Macaca mulatta: one gene and its partners. The protein of the gene in region 1 interacts with the protein of each later gene in a biochemical or structural test. Links are inferred from orthologs where the notes say so. Each region holds a gene or a part of one and is shown on either strand. Other genes may lie near its edges.

Evidence for each region. The genes of interacting proteins can lie anywhere in the genome.
Region 2: the proteins of INPP5D (region 1) and CD244 interact in a biophysical measurement, tested with the Homo sapiens proteins (2 studies listed by IntAct). The link is inferred for Macaca mulatta from reciprocal best matches to the Homo sapiens genes INPP5D and CD244.
Region 3: the proteins of INPP5D (region 1) and SHC1 form a complex in vitro, tested with the Homo sapiens proteins (2 studies listed by BioGRID and IntAct, with this or other methods). The link is inferred for Macaca mulatta from reciprocal best matches to the Homo sapiens genes INPP5D and SHC1.

The regions. Positions count from the first base shown.
Region 1 is NC_133417.1:138,332,530-138,336,739, reverse strand, and holds the start of INPP5D (phosphatidylinositol 3,4,5-trisphosphate 5-phosphatase 1), read right to left. Parts: upstream 2,801-4,210; 5' UTR 2,673-2,800; coding exon 2,530-2,672; intron 1-2,529. UniProt on the Homo sapiens protein: Phosphatidylinositol (PtdIns) phosphatase that specifically hydrolyzes the 5-phosphate of phosphatidylinositol-3,4,5-trisphosphate (PtdIns(3,4,5)P3) to produce PtdIns(3,4)P2, thereby negatively regulating the PI3K (phosphoinositide 3-kinase) pathways.
Region 2 is NC_133406.1:106,022,122-106,025,621, reverse strand, and holds part of CD244 (natural killer cell receptor 2B4), read right to left. Parts: intron 2,410-3,500; coding exon 2,092-2,409; intron 2,010-2,091; coding exon 1,719-2,009; intron 1-1,718. UniProt on the Homo sapiens protein: Heterophilic receptor of the signaling lymphocytic activation molecule (SLAM) family; its ligand is CD48.
Region 3 is NC_133406.1:112,039,266-112,042,484, reverse strand, and holds the end of SHC1 (SHC-transforming protein 1), read right to left. Parts: exon of another isoform or gene 2,854-3,219; intron 2,117-2,853; coding exon 1,988-2,116; 3' UTR 501-1,987; downstream 1-500. UniProt on the Homo sapiens protein: Signaling adapter that couples activated growth factor receptors to signaling pathways. Participates in a signaling cascade initiated by activated KIT and KITLG/SCF.

The DNA of each region.
Region 1 (4,210 bases):
AGGGCTGGGGAGCAAATGCTGCTACTTCTGCAGCTGCAGATAAACCCAGCTGCCCTGCACACCCCTCAGCCTGGGGCTGCCTGCCTTTGCCATGTCCAGCAGGCTGCGGCCACTCCGCAGGGAACAGAGAAAACTAGGGGGTGGTGGGGTTTGTTTTTCAAGAAGTTCAATCTCTTTGCTTTAAATGACTGGTCTTTTTTTTTTTTTTTTTTTTTTTTTTTGTATGCCCTTCCTGCCTTTTTTGTTGTCAAAGGCTGCTTTCTTTCAAGAAATGAGATGTTGGAGGATGACAGTTTGTTATCATTCATTTAATTACTTTTTAGTTTTAAAATCTCCGTAATTGGCAAAATCCAGGGTAGCAGCCACATGAAGCCTGCAGATGTGTGGAAAGTCTGCAGGTCCATCGCGTCCCACAGCCTACAGTGGAGCCTGACCCTGCAGGAACGGAAGCTTCCTACGCTGAGCAGAGGAGAAAGGGGAACCCTGAGCCCAGGGTTTGTCTGGCCAAGGGGTGGGGCTCCTGGTGTTTGCAACCCAGCAGCCTCAGGATAGGAGGCTGATGAGGCTTTGGCTAAGAGGATAGTGGACCTCTGTGGGCACCACAGGTCCCTTTCTAAGGAGCAGACACTGCACACCTGTCATGACTCTGAGAGTAACTCAGTGCAGACAAGGGTTCCGAGAGAAGAGGTGGAGGAAGGAATACGGGAACTGGCCTGGAAGCCAGCAGTTTTGCCCCCAGCCAGCATGGTGGACAAAGGCCTCAGGCTCTCTGCACTCTGTCTACCCCCTGAAAAGCCAGGGCTGTTGCACCAGAGCTTTTCCAAGACCTTTCCAGCTCTGACTCTGGCTCAGGCTGATCCTAGACATTAAGATGCTCACAGCTTGGAGTCAGAGAGACCCACATCCCATGTCTGTAACTTGAGCAACCACAAAGCCCTGGTCAAAGAGCTGCATCGAAGGTTAATGAGATGGGGCCCTGGAAGCCCTCGGCTCAGCCAACACCAAGCAGCCAGGACAAGATCCCACTGGGCCAGGAGAGAAATCCAAATAATCCACATGGGCCGGGTGGAGTCAGACTGGGCTTGTGAGATGCCTAAGAGAATCTTCCTGCCCCTTCTAAGGCCCCGGCAGCAGCAGGTCCCCACTGGGGAAGTCCAGGCAGCCTGGGCCTGCGTTCCTTCCCCTGAGGCATGAGAGAGGGGGCACAGGAAGCCAGTCTTGGAGGTGGGGCTGCAGATTGTCAGCACAGGCCAGCGACCAGCTGTGAGCCTGGGTTGGCTTCCAGTGCCCCAGCCGACCCTGTAAACACTCCGGCTGCCCTTGCTTCTGCCTCCAGCCCCACAAGGCTACATGCATGCCCCGCTAGACTGGGAGCAGGAGAGGTCGGTCCACAGGCTGCTGGTCTCAGCTGCAGCCTCTGGGGGCAGATGGCCATGGCTTTGACTGTTGTCACTCACTTAACTGCCAGGGCCTCAGATTTCTCATCTGCAAAGTGGGGCTTTTGACAGGACCTTCACTTCAGGTTGTGGTGAGGATGAAATGGGCTAACAAATGCTTAGCACAGCAGGCCCCAGCTGTGAGTCAGTATTCAAAACAGGTCTGGGTTCATCACCCACTTCCCCTCCTGCCTGAAGAAGGGCAAGGCCCTCTCCGCTTGGGGGAACATTTCTGCTAGCCCGGGGATGCTACTGGAGATGTTCGGGTGGACATACCCTTCCCTGACTACACCCTGGCACTGCCCGAGGCCTCGGCAAAATGATTAGACCAAGAGCTGCAGGGCAAGGGCCTCCTTCAGACACTGGACAGGAAGGGGGTTTTAGAAAGGAACCTTCAGCAAGTGGCTGGTTCCTCCATTGCTAGCACAGCTGGCACATTCAGTAACATCCCCAACCGGGCAGTGGGAGGAGTTGATGGTGACAGAGACCCAAATTGAGGGGTGGGGGTGGGCAGCGGTCACAGCCAAGTGCTCAGGAGACAGAGAAGAGGCTGCTCGCTCGTGGTAGTGGTGAGCGAACGGAAAGTCCTTTCTTGATTAAACTCAGCCCATATGCTTGGCTCGCCGAACAACAGCTGCCCCCAGGGTCCCAAAGCCTGGGTGCTCCAGGAAGGGTCCCCCTTGCCACCTTTGCTCTTCTCAGGGTTTCTGAGCTGGGCATCTTTGAACTGATCTCTAACACACCCACCTCCAAGGAGCCCTGAGCTTCCTCCTGGTTCAAAAAGCCCAAACTCGTTCTCTCGTTCCCCAGACTTCAAGGAAGCCCCGGGCACCACACAGCTCATGGGAAGCTGGGGTGTAAGATCAGGCCTCGGAGTGGTTCTGACAGCTCCAAGGCTGCAAAATCTGCCACGAGACCAGCTCTCTGAACTCCAAGGCCAAGGTCCAAGGACAAGGTCCATGACAGGGTGGCGGGGAAGTGTGCATGGCAGATCACTTTGTCCTGTGACATAAGAACAACCCATCCCAGTGCTGGGCCCCCTCTAAGCCTCTCTGTCATCTCTGTGCCCGGGGACGGAGCAGGTTGTACTCACAGCACGCAGAGCGCGTATGCCCGGGAGATGGACTCGCTGGCACGCACGAGGAAGCTCCCATCCTTGCCCGTCCTGGAGAGCAGCTCCTCCGCCTTGGAGCGGGTGATATTGCCGTGGTTCCAGCAGGGGACCATGGTGGGCATGGGCCTCCTCGGCCGGGCCAGCGGGCAACCCCAGGACCCACACGCCACCGAGGGGAGCGGAGGCCCCTCTGCTGTAACCTGCCGCCTGTTGCCTCTTGGTGGCCTCGGCTGCTGCCACCAGCTTAACTGGCTGACTTCCTGTTTCAGGCGCTCAGCGAGGGAAAGGAAACTGAGCGGCGGAGAACTTCCTCATTACAGAAACCAAGCGAGAGAGGGCGGGGGGAAGCCCTGGCCATCCACCGTCCCCCACACCCCGCCACGGCTACTGCGGCTCCTTCACCGGCCCTCTCCTTCCTGGCAACAGGTCGCAGCCTACAAGTGAAGTGTCCAGGGACAGCTGAAGTCCCACTGGGCAGAATGACCGGCTCTGGAGATGTCAGGAGAGTCGTGGCCACTTCTGAAGAAGCATGGCCTAGCAGGCATGGGTGGGCCCGAAGAGTGGTTCTTCTGCGGCCATGCTGACGCCCACATGGGATGCCACGCCCTAGACAGGTCCCTGAGCCTTCTGCTCTCCCCCAGGGCTTTTCAACGCCCATCCTGAACCCCTAAAACACCCAAGGGGGCACAGCTTCTCAACTGGGACTACAGCCTGCCCAGGACAGAGCAAACTTGAGGGGGAGGGGACAGTCAAGCCCCACCACTCCCCTTTAGAGACTCCCAGCGGCCTGGGTGCTGGGAGACCTTGGCCACCACCAGCCGAGGGTGCCGAGGTCCAAGTGACGGCTCTGTGACTGCATTCCCCTCATTCCCAGGGGCCGGTGGATGCTGCACGGGCAGCACAGCTCTTATCCCTGCAGTCCAGCTTGGAGACACACAAAGGGAGCTTGGAGGGGATGTGGACCATTTACAGTGGGAACACAGGCTGACTTTTTCTCTGGGCTTCTCCAGGATGCTGGGGAAACAAGCTCGGAGAGGAGAACCCCAAAGCCCCACAGGGCAGGCTGGCCGCCTGGCCAAGGATAACACGGGGTCCTGAGTCCTGCATCTCAGCAGTCGGGGTGGCTGGTCAGACTGTACCTCCTCCAAGGCTGGGCATGGCCACATTTGCCCACCTCTCCAAGGGGAGCTGCCTCTCCAGGGACTGCCATCCAGGACCAGTCATTTCTGAGGGCTCTGCAGTGGACACCCATCCCTCAGCCCCCAGACCTGGGTACCCTCCATCCTTGGGTCAGGCCCACCAAGGCTGAAGGGGCAGGTGTTGACCCGCTGCACAAGGAGTGTCCCCTCATCCCACATCCAGGCCTTGGGCTCCAGGACATGACAACAGACCCCCTCCAGGAAGGGGCACCAGCCAGGCAGTGGCACCAGCCAGGCAGCGCCACCACATTCAAGCTGTGGGAACCTGGTCAAGTTTCTTCTCTCTCTCGGCCTTGGTTTCTTCTTGTCTAATTTGAAGGACGTAGCTCGTAAAGGAGCTCACATGTGCCCAGGGGCTCAACGTGCGTCACGCTGATGGTTGTCCCAGGACAGGGCCCCCAGCACCTCCCTGCTGTAGCAACACGCACAGCAGGTGAGTCTGTAGGGCAGACAAAGCACTC
Region 2 (3,500 bases), on another chromosome or scaffold:
CAAAGTTTTGAGTTCCACAACTGTAGATTTAATGAATTGTGGATCCAGAATATTCAGAGGAAAAAAATTGCATCCATATTGAATATGTAGACACTTCTTTCTTTGTCATTATTCCCTAAACAATACAGTATAACAACAATTTAAATAGCACTTACATTGTATCAGACATTGTAATTAATCTGAGATTATTTAAGTAAGGTATACAGAAGGATGTGCATAGGTTATATGCAAATACTGCACCTGTTTATACCAAGGACTTAAATATTCGTGGATTTTGGCATCTGTGGTTATGGCATGGGTCCTGGAACTAATTCCCCATGGATACTGAGGGACATGTAAAGCATCTAGCACAACAAATGTTACATTTATCCATTCATTTGTTTTTAACTCAAAAAATACTCATTGTCCAGGCAAGTTTTCCATCTCTCTTTTCCACTATTCCTGCCTTCATGGTTCTTCCTCATTTGAGCTTCTACTTAAAACATTTGTGTCAAACATGTAGCCTGATACATAATCCAGCCAATGAGAGGAAGGGAAAGGAATTAAGGGTTCCGAGGTACTTATTATCATCCCCATTTTACCCAAGGGGGGAAAAATTGAGACTCAGAGAGGTTAATGAATCTGCCAGAGATCACAGAGCTTTTTTTGTTTTTTTAAATTTATTTATTAGGGATGGGATTACACCATGTTGTCCAGGCTGGTCTCAAACACCTGGACTCAAGTGATCCACCTGCCTCAGCCTCCCAAAGTGCTAGGATTACAGGTGTGAGTCACCACACCTGACCTCTAAGAGATCACAGAGCTTCTGAATGATGAAGCTGGTGTCCCAGTTCAGTGGCGCGATCTCGGCTCACTGCAACCTCCGCCTCCCGGGTTCAAGGGATTCTGCTGCCTCAGCCTCCCGAGTAGCTGGGATTACAGGTGCCAGCCACATGCCCAGCTAATTTTTGGTAGTTTTAATAAAGACAGGGTTTCACCATGTTGGCCAGGCTGGTCTCAAACTCCTGACCTTGTGATCCACCCTCCTCGGCCTCCCAAAGTGCTGGGATTACAGGCATGAGCCACTGCTCCCAGCCTGCCTCAGTCTTGTTTATTTTTTGTGCAAAAGTACTTATTTTAGTTGCCCTTACTTGGCTGTAAGTTCCTTATTAATGAGAACTGTATTTTTTTTTCCTATAGTGCCCATGCTGCTGGCATATGAAGTCTCTGTTTATATAATAAAAAGTTGTGGAAAGTGAACTCAGGTAACTCGTAGGATGAGCGTAAGCAACAACCCAAGAACTCATCTAGGTATCCCTGGGATCATTCTCATGCTCCCGCTCCAGGCTACTGCTGCACAGTATAGTTACCTCTTGAACTATGTGGCCTGGAGAAAGTTATCACTCAAGAGGAGAGAACAGTTCTCCATTAGCCTCTCTCAGGAAGAAAATAATGTTCAGGAGCCATTTCAGGACTGTCACTCACCAAAAAACTGTGTCCTCCCTCTGCAGAAGAAAAGCTTGCATCTCCCAGAAGGAAACAGGGATAATTTTTTTTCCAGAGTAGGATAGCTTTACAGGAACTATGTGCTTGGAGGCCAGGACTCCCCTGGGAAGGGCTACAAGGCACTGGGAGAGGAAGCCAAGGGATTTTATCTCATACCACGTCTGTCTTACACATGAGCCTGGTTGTGGGTCCAAACCTTCAGCCCTTGTTATAGCCCAGTGTGTTCCACTTACCGTGATGGGCATTCTGACAGTCCTGAGTGAGATTCAGGGTGTGGCTTTCCCAGCTAACAGGATTGCTGACGTTGCAGGTATATGTGTGCGTGCCATTAATGTCAACCTCCTCCTCCAGGTAGGTGAGGTTCCCTGCTGTCTGGATCAGCTTGCTGCCTCTGTACCAAGCATAGGTCACATTGTCATCCCTGGAGACCAAGCAGGACAGAGCCACTTGGCACCTCCCTCTGTCCAGGATCTTGCCCTGCCCCTGTAGGCGGGGTTTCTCAACTTTATCTGGAAGCAGAGATGCTGATCAGAAAGGCATGGAAATACAGAAATTAGAGGCCTACAGGAATCAGAGAGGGCAGTATGAGCAGTCCTGGAGACTTACCAAATACAAAAACCTGGAACATGGCTCTCTGAACTTGTCCCATCGTATTGGTGACCTCCAGGCAGTAGAGGCCACTGTCCTGCTGCTGAGCTGCCTTGATGAGAAGAGTCGAGTTCTTGATTATAAAACTGAATCTATTGTTGAAGGTATTGGAAGGCGAAGAGCCATTCTCCCACTGCAATATCTGACGAAATGTATTTTGTGAGGGCAGCCACATCTTCCACTGAACATTGTAAATCTTTGTCTGTATGCTGTTTGGTTGTAACTGAAGGGGCATTCCCAAGATGCTAAACACATGGTCAGCTGATCCCTGGCATCCTAGGAAAGAGAACCCAAGCTGAAAGTAGCGGGAAGAGTGAGCAATGTGGGCAGCTGGATGTGATTTCCCTTAAGCCAATAGGTTGGGGATGGGTATGAGGAGCCCAGAGCCTAGGAGCACCTTAAAGTGTATCCCCCCATCTGCCTCCCCTTGTCCCCAAGCTCTTTGTCCCTAGTCTGAAGGATCCCATAGACCAATAGCTAAAATCTTGAGTACTTACTATGTGACAGGCAGGTTTCGCACTTTATACATTTTAACCGTTTAAGTTAAAAGGAATAAAATGGTGAAAATGTACAAATGTTTTATACATTTTAACTATTTAACTTAACAATGACCCTTATCCCCATTTTATAGGTGAGGAAACTGAGTTAGAAAGAGCTTAAGTAACTGGCTTAAGTTACACAGTGAGAATGATGAGCCTGAAACCTAGTCAGTTTGGTGTTGTTTTTGTTTTCTTTTGTTTTGTTTGTCAGAGACAGGGTCTCACTCTGTCACCCAGGCTGAAGTGCAGTGGCACAATCACAGCCCACTGCAGCCTTGAACTCCTAGGCTTGAGGTGATCCCCCCACCTCAACTTCCCTCGTAGCTGGGACTACAGGTGCATGCCACTGCACCCAGCTTATTTGTTTACTCTTTGTAAAGACAGCAGTTTGACTTCAGAGGATAAATTCTTAACCATGATGTTATAAACACCACATCTAATGTGACTCCCTCCAAGCAGTGCTGAGGCAACTACTAATGGAAAGTAGTGACTGTCAGAAATTCTGAAGGGTCAGGCCCAGGAAGAATGACCCTCCAAGCTGGACTCATGACCCCTCAACTGTCCTCTCAGAGAGCTGAATACATAATCCTCTCTCGTGGCACTTGGCACATTGGATTTTGGTCATTACTCATTGATGTTTGCCAGTTTTTCAGTGATCAGAAAGTCTCCACAAAAATTTCTCCCTAGAAAACAATTTTTAAAATAAAACTACACTTCCCAGGTAGATCCCAGCACTTCCCTGTCAATGAATCCAGATGAGACCTAATGAATATGGGGGTGTGACAACCTGGAGCAATTCAGTGCAGGCAGTGTACAAAACTGGAAGTT
Region 3 (3,219 bases), on another chromosome or scaffold:
CGGCCACCACCACTAAGCGCGGCGGGGAGGGGGAGCAAGGACCGGACGAGACCCCACGCCAGAAAACAGGCGGCAGGCGAGGGGCGAGGCTTACCACTGCACCACGCGAGTGGAGAGGGTCGTTTCCGCTAGCGGCGGCCCACACCAGCTCACCGAGGGGCGGCGGCGCGCGGCCCTGCTGCCGGACCGTACCATCCCGGGCGGTGGAGCCACCGCGGAGGGGCGCGCGCGAGCCGAGGGCGCGCCTGGGAGGTCTAGGTAGTCCCGGGGGCCGGCGTTGCGGCGCCGGGGAGTCCGGGTTCTTGCCTGGACGCACCCGGAGCCAGCCCCCGCCCCCCGGACACAACATCTTCATGGGGACGGTGGCGCGACACGCCCCACTCTGCCGCGCCCAAACTCCGCAGACCCCCTAGCTTCCCTCGGCGGCCGCGACCTCCCGCCTCCCCGCTGTGCAGCTAAGGGCCCGCGGCGTACACAATAGGCTTCCCAGGATTAAGAGGCAGAGGTAGAAGAAATACGGACTTTAATGAAGAGTTTTCCCTTTGGTATAAGTGAGACCCGTGGAAACATCCAAACAACAGCAAAAGGAGTCCAGGATGAAAACGGTCAACTGTCCCTTATCCACAAGGCCAAAAGAGGGGCCCAGGCTGGGCCGGGCCTGTAGAAGGTACTCAGGAACTGCAGGTTTTGCGTTTCCCCTCCATGAAACTGACAGGCATTCGAGCTGACTTCTGCCTCTCAGTCTCGCGGTAAGAGACCCAAGTTTTTCTAGTCCTAGATGGAAATAAATTTCATCTGCCTCAGGTCTGGTATAAAAGGTGCGATCCCAGTTACCTCACAGGCCTGGGCGAGGAAAATGCCAACAGCTGTAAAAGGGCTTGGAAAAGTCAAAAAGGTGATGTATAAATGTAATAATTGATTACCATTTTGTGCTCGAGAATAAGCCATGGAAAACAAAATAGGAAAGTAAGTCTACAGCCCTAAAATATATGCATATAAAACTTTAAAAGAATGCAGTTCCAACTCTACAGATGGTATTTGGGGATTGTCTACTGCTTTAAGAGTCTCAATGCCCTTTTTCCCACCTCCACAAAATCCACCTGGGAGAGTGAACTGTACAAGAGGCCCAAATTCAGTCACCCCTACCCCACCCTGCCAGAAAGGGAGGCAGGGCAGAGGCTCCAGGAAGGGCTACACTTTGGCTGTAGAGTACAATAGGCATGCAACATGGGAGAGGGCAGGCCTTACGAAATGTATATACAGACCCCTTGGGGTGAGGGGCCCCGGCCAGGAGGCACTGAGCAAGGGAGGGATCCATCTCCCCCCTGGCCGGGAGGGGGGCTCTGGGGCAATCTCTAAGGGTTGCATATCCCCAGGGAGAGGGGACAGCTGCCACTCCTGCCTCTGTTATCCCAAACCAAACCGGAAAGAGTGCTGAGCAAGAAGACAGGTCCCAGAAGCCAAGAAGGTGTTGGCATCCCTGTCATTGAACTCAGGGGCCCAAGAACTCTGCATAAAATATCATCAGACCTAAGAGATGGTCAAAGGCACAAAGTTTAAACATGGTGGGGTGGGGGTGTTGAGAAGGGTCTGGGATACCCTGAAGCACAGAAGTGTGATTTGTTCCCCCTTGCCCAAAAGGGTGACTGTTCCACTGGGCCTGTCACCACAGGACATTTTCCATGACAACCACTCACTTTCTTGGGGAAGGGGCATCAGGTTGGCACAGGAAAGGCCCAGGTGAAGGGCCACTCTGTACATTAATACTTTGGTGATCAATGTTTGGGGAGAGGCAGGATTCTCCCCCAGGCTTCTGACTCAAACCCTCAAACCCTCACTCAGCTGGATATGAAACCCAGAGTCCACACTACTCCCAGCTCTGACACAAGGCCAAGCCCGCAGAACACTCCCAAATGAGGTCCCAAGAGTTAGGGAATAGGGTGGAAGGGATTGGAGGGCATCTTCTGGAAGAGAGGTCTGGGGCAGATCACAGTTTCCGCTCCACAGGTTGCTGTAGACACAGTTCGCTGCCCGCAGAGATGATGGGCAAGTGATTGTCCATATGGTAGCTGATGAGGTGACTGACACTCTCAAAGCGGTGATCCTTAGTCCGAACCTGGGAGGGTGGGAAGGAAGAAGGTCAATTCAGGTGAAGAGTCAAATAAGACCTCAGCCTCCAAGGTGGAAGAGGGTAAAACAGACAAGAGGCTTGAAGAAGGAGAAAAAAATGGTAGGGGAGAGTGTGGCCTATCAGTCCTGATCATTGAGGTTTCTCTAGAAAGAGACAGTTGCAGGAATAGACAGGTCAGTGAAGTGGGAAAAGGCAAAGGTGACATCAGCCCTGAAAGAGTGAAGCTGAGAGCTATATACCCTTTTCTTGACGTGGAAAAAGTTGGCATGTCTCAGAAGAGTATACACAGTGCAAAAAAAGATGTGGAGGCTGGGCATGGTGGCTCATGCCTGCAATCCCAGCACTCTGGGAGGCTAAGGGAGGCGGATCACTTGAGCCCAGGAGTTCAAGAACAGCTTGAGCAACATGGCGAAACCCCATCTCAACAACAACAACAAAAATACAAAAATTAGCCGGGTGTGCCACCACACCCCAGCCTGGATGACAAAGCAAAACCCTATCTCAAAAAAAAAAAGAAAAGAAAAAGAGGAAAGGAGGCTGAGATTGCTGTAGAAAACAGACAAAAGTTTGTTTGTTTCTAGACAGGGTCTCTGTCACCCAGGCTAGAGTGCAATGGCGCAGTCATGGCTCACTGTAACCTCAAACTCCTGGGCTCAAGCAATCATCAGGCCTCAGCCTCCTGGGTAGGTAGGACTACAGGCATGTGTCACCATTCCTGACTAATTTTTTGTTTTTTTTTATTTTTCTAGAGATAAGGTCTTGCCATGTTGCCTAGGCTGGTCTAGAACTCCTGGCCTCAAGCAATCCTCCCACCTCAGCTTCCCAAAATCTTGCGATTACAGGCATGAGCCACCACACCTGGCTAAACAAGGAAAGTTTTGAAGAACAGTGAGGCAGTGCAAATAAGAGAAAGCACAGTGGTCTGACTCCTGAGTCTGAGGAGCTGGAGAAGCCCTTGGATCTTCTTACGAAAGGAAACTTGCAGTGTCTAGCCTTTAACCATGTGACATTGGGCCTCACAACCTCTTCGGGGTGGTTTCCTTATTTGTAAAAATGGGCACAGATGGCCGGGCGCGGTGGCTCACGCC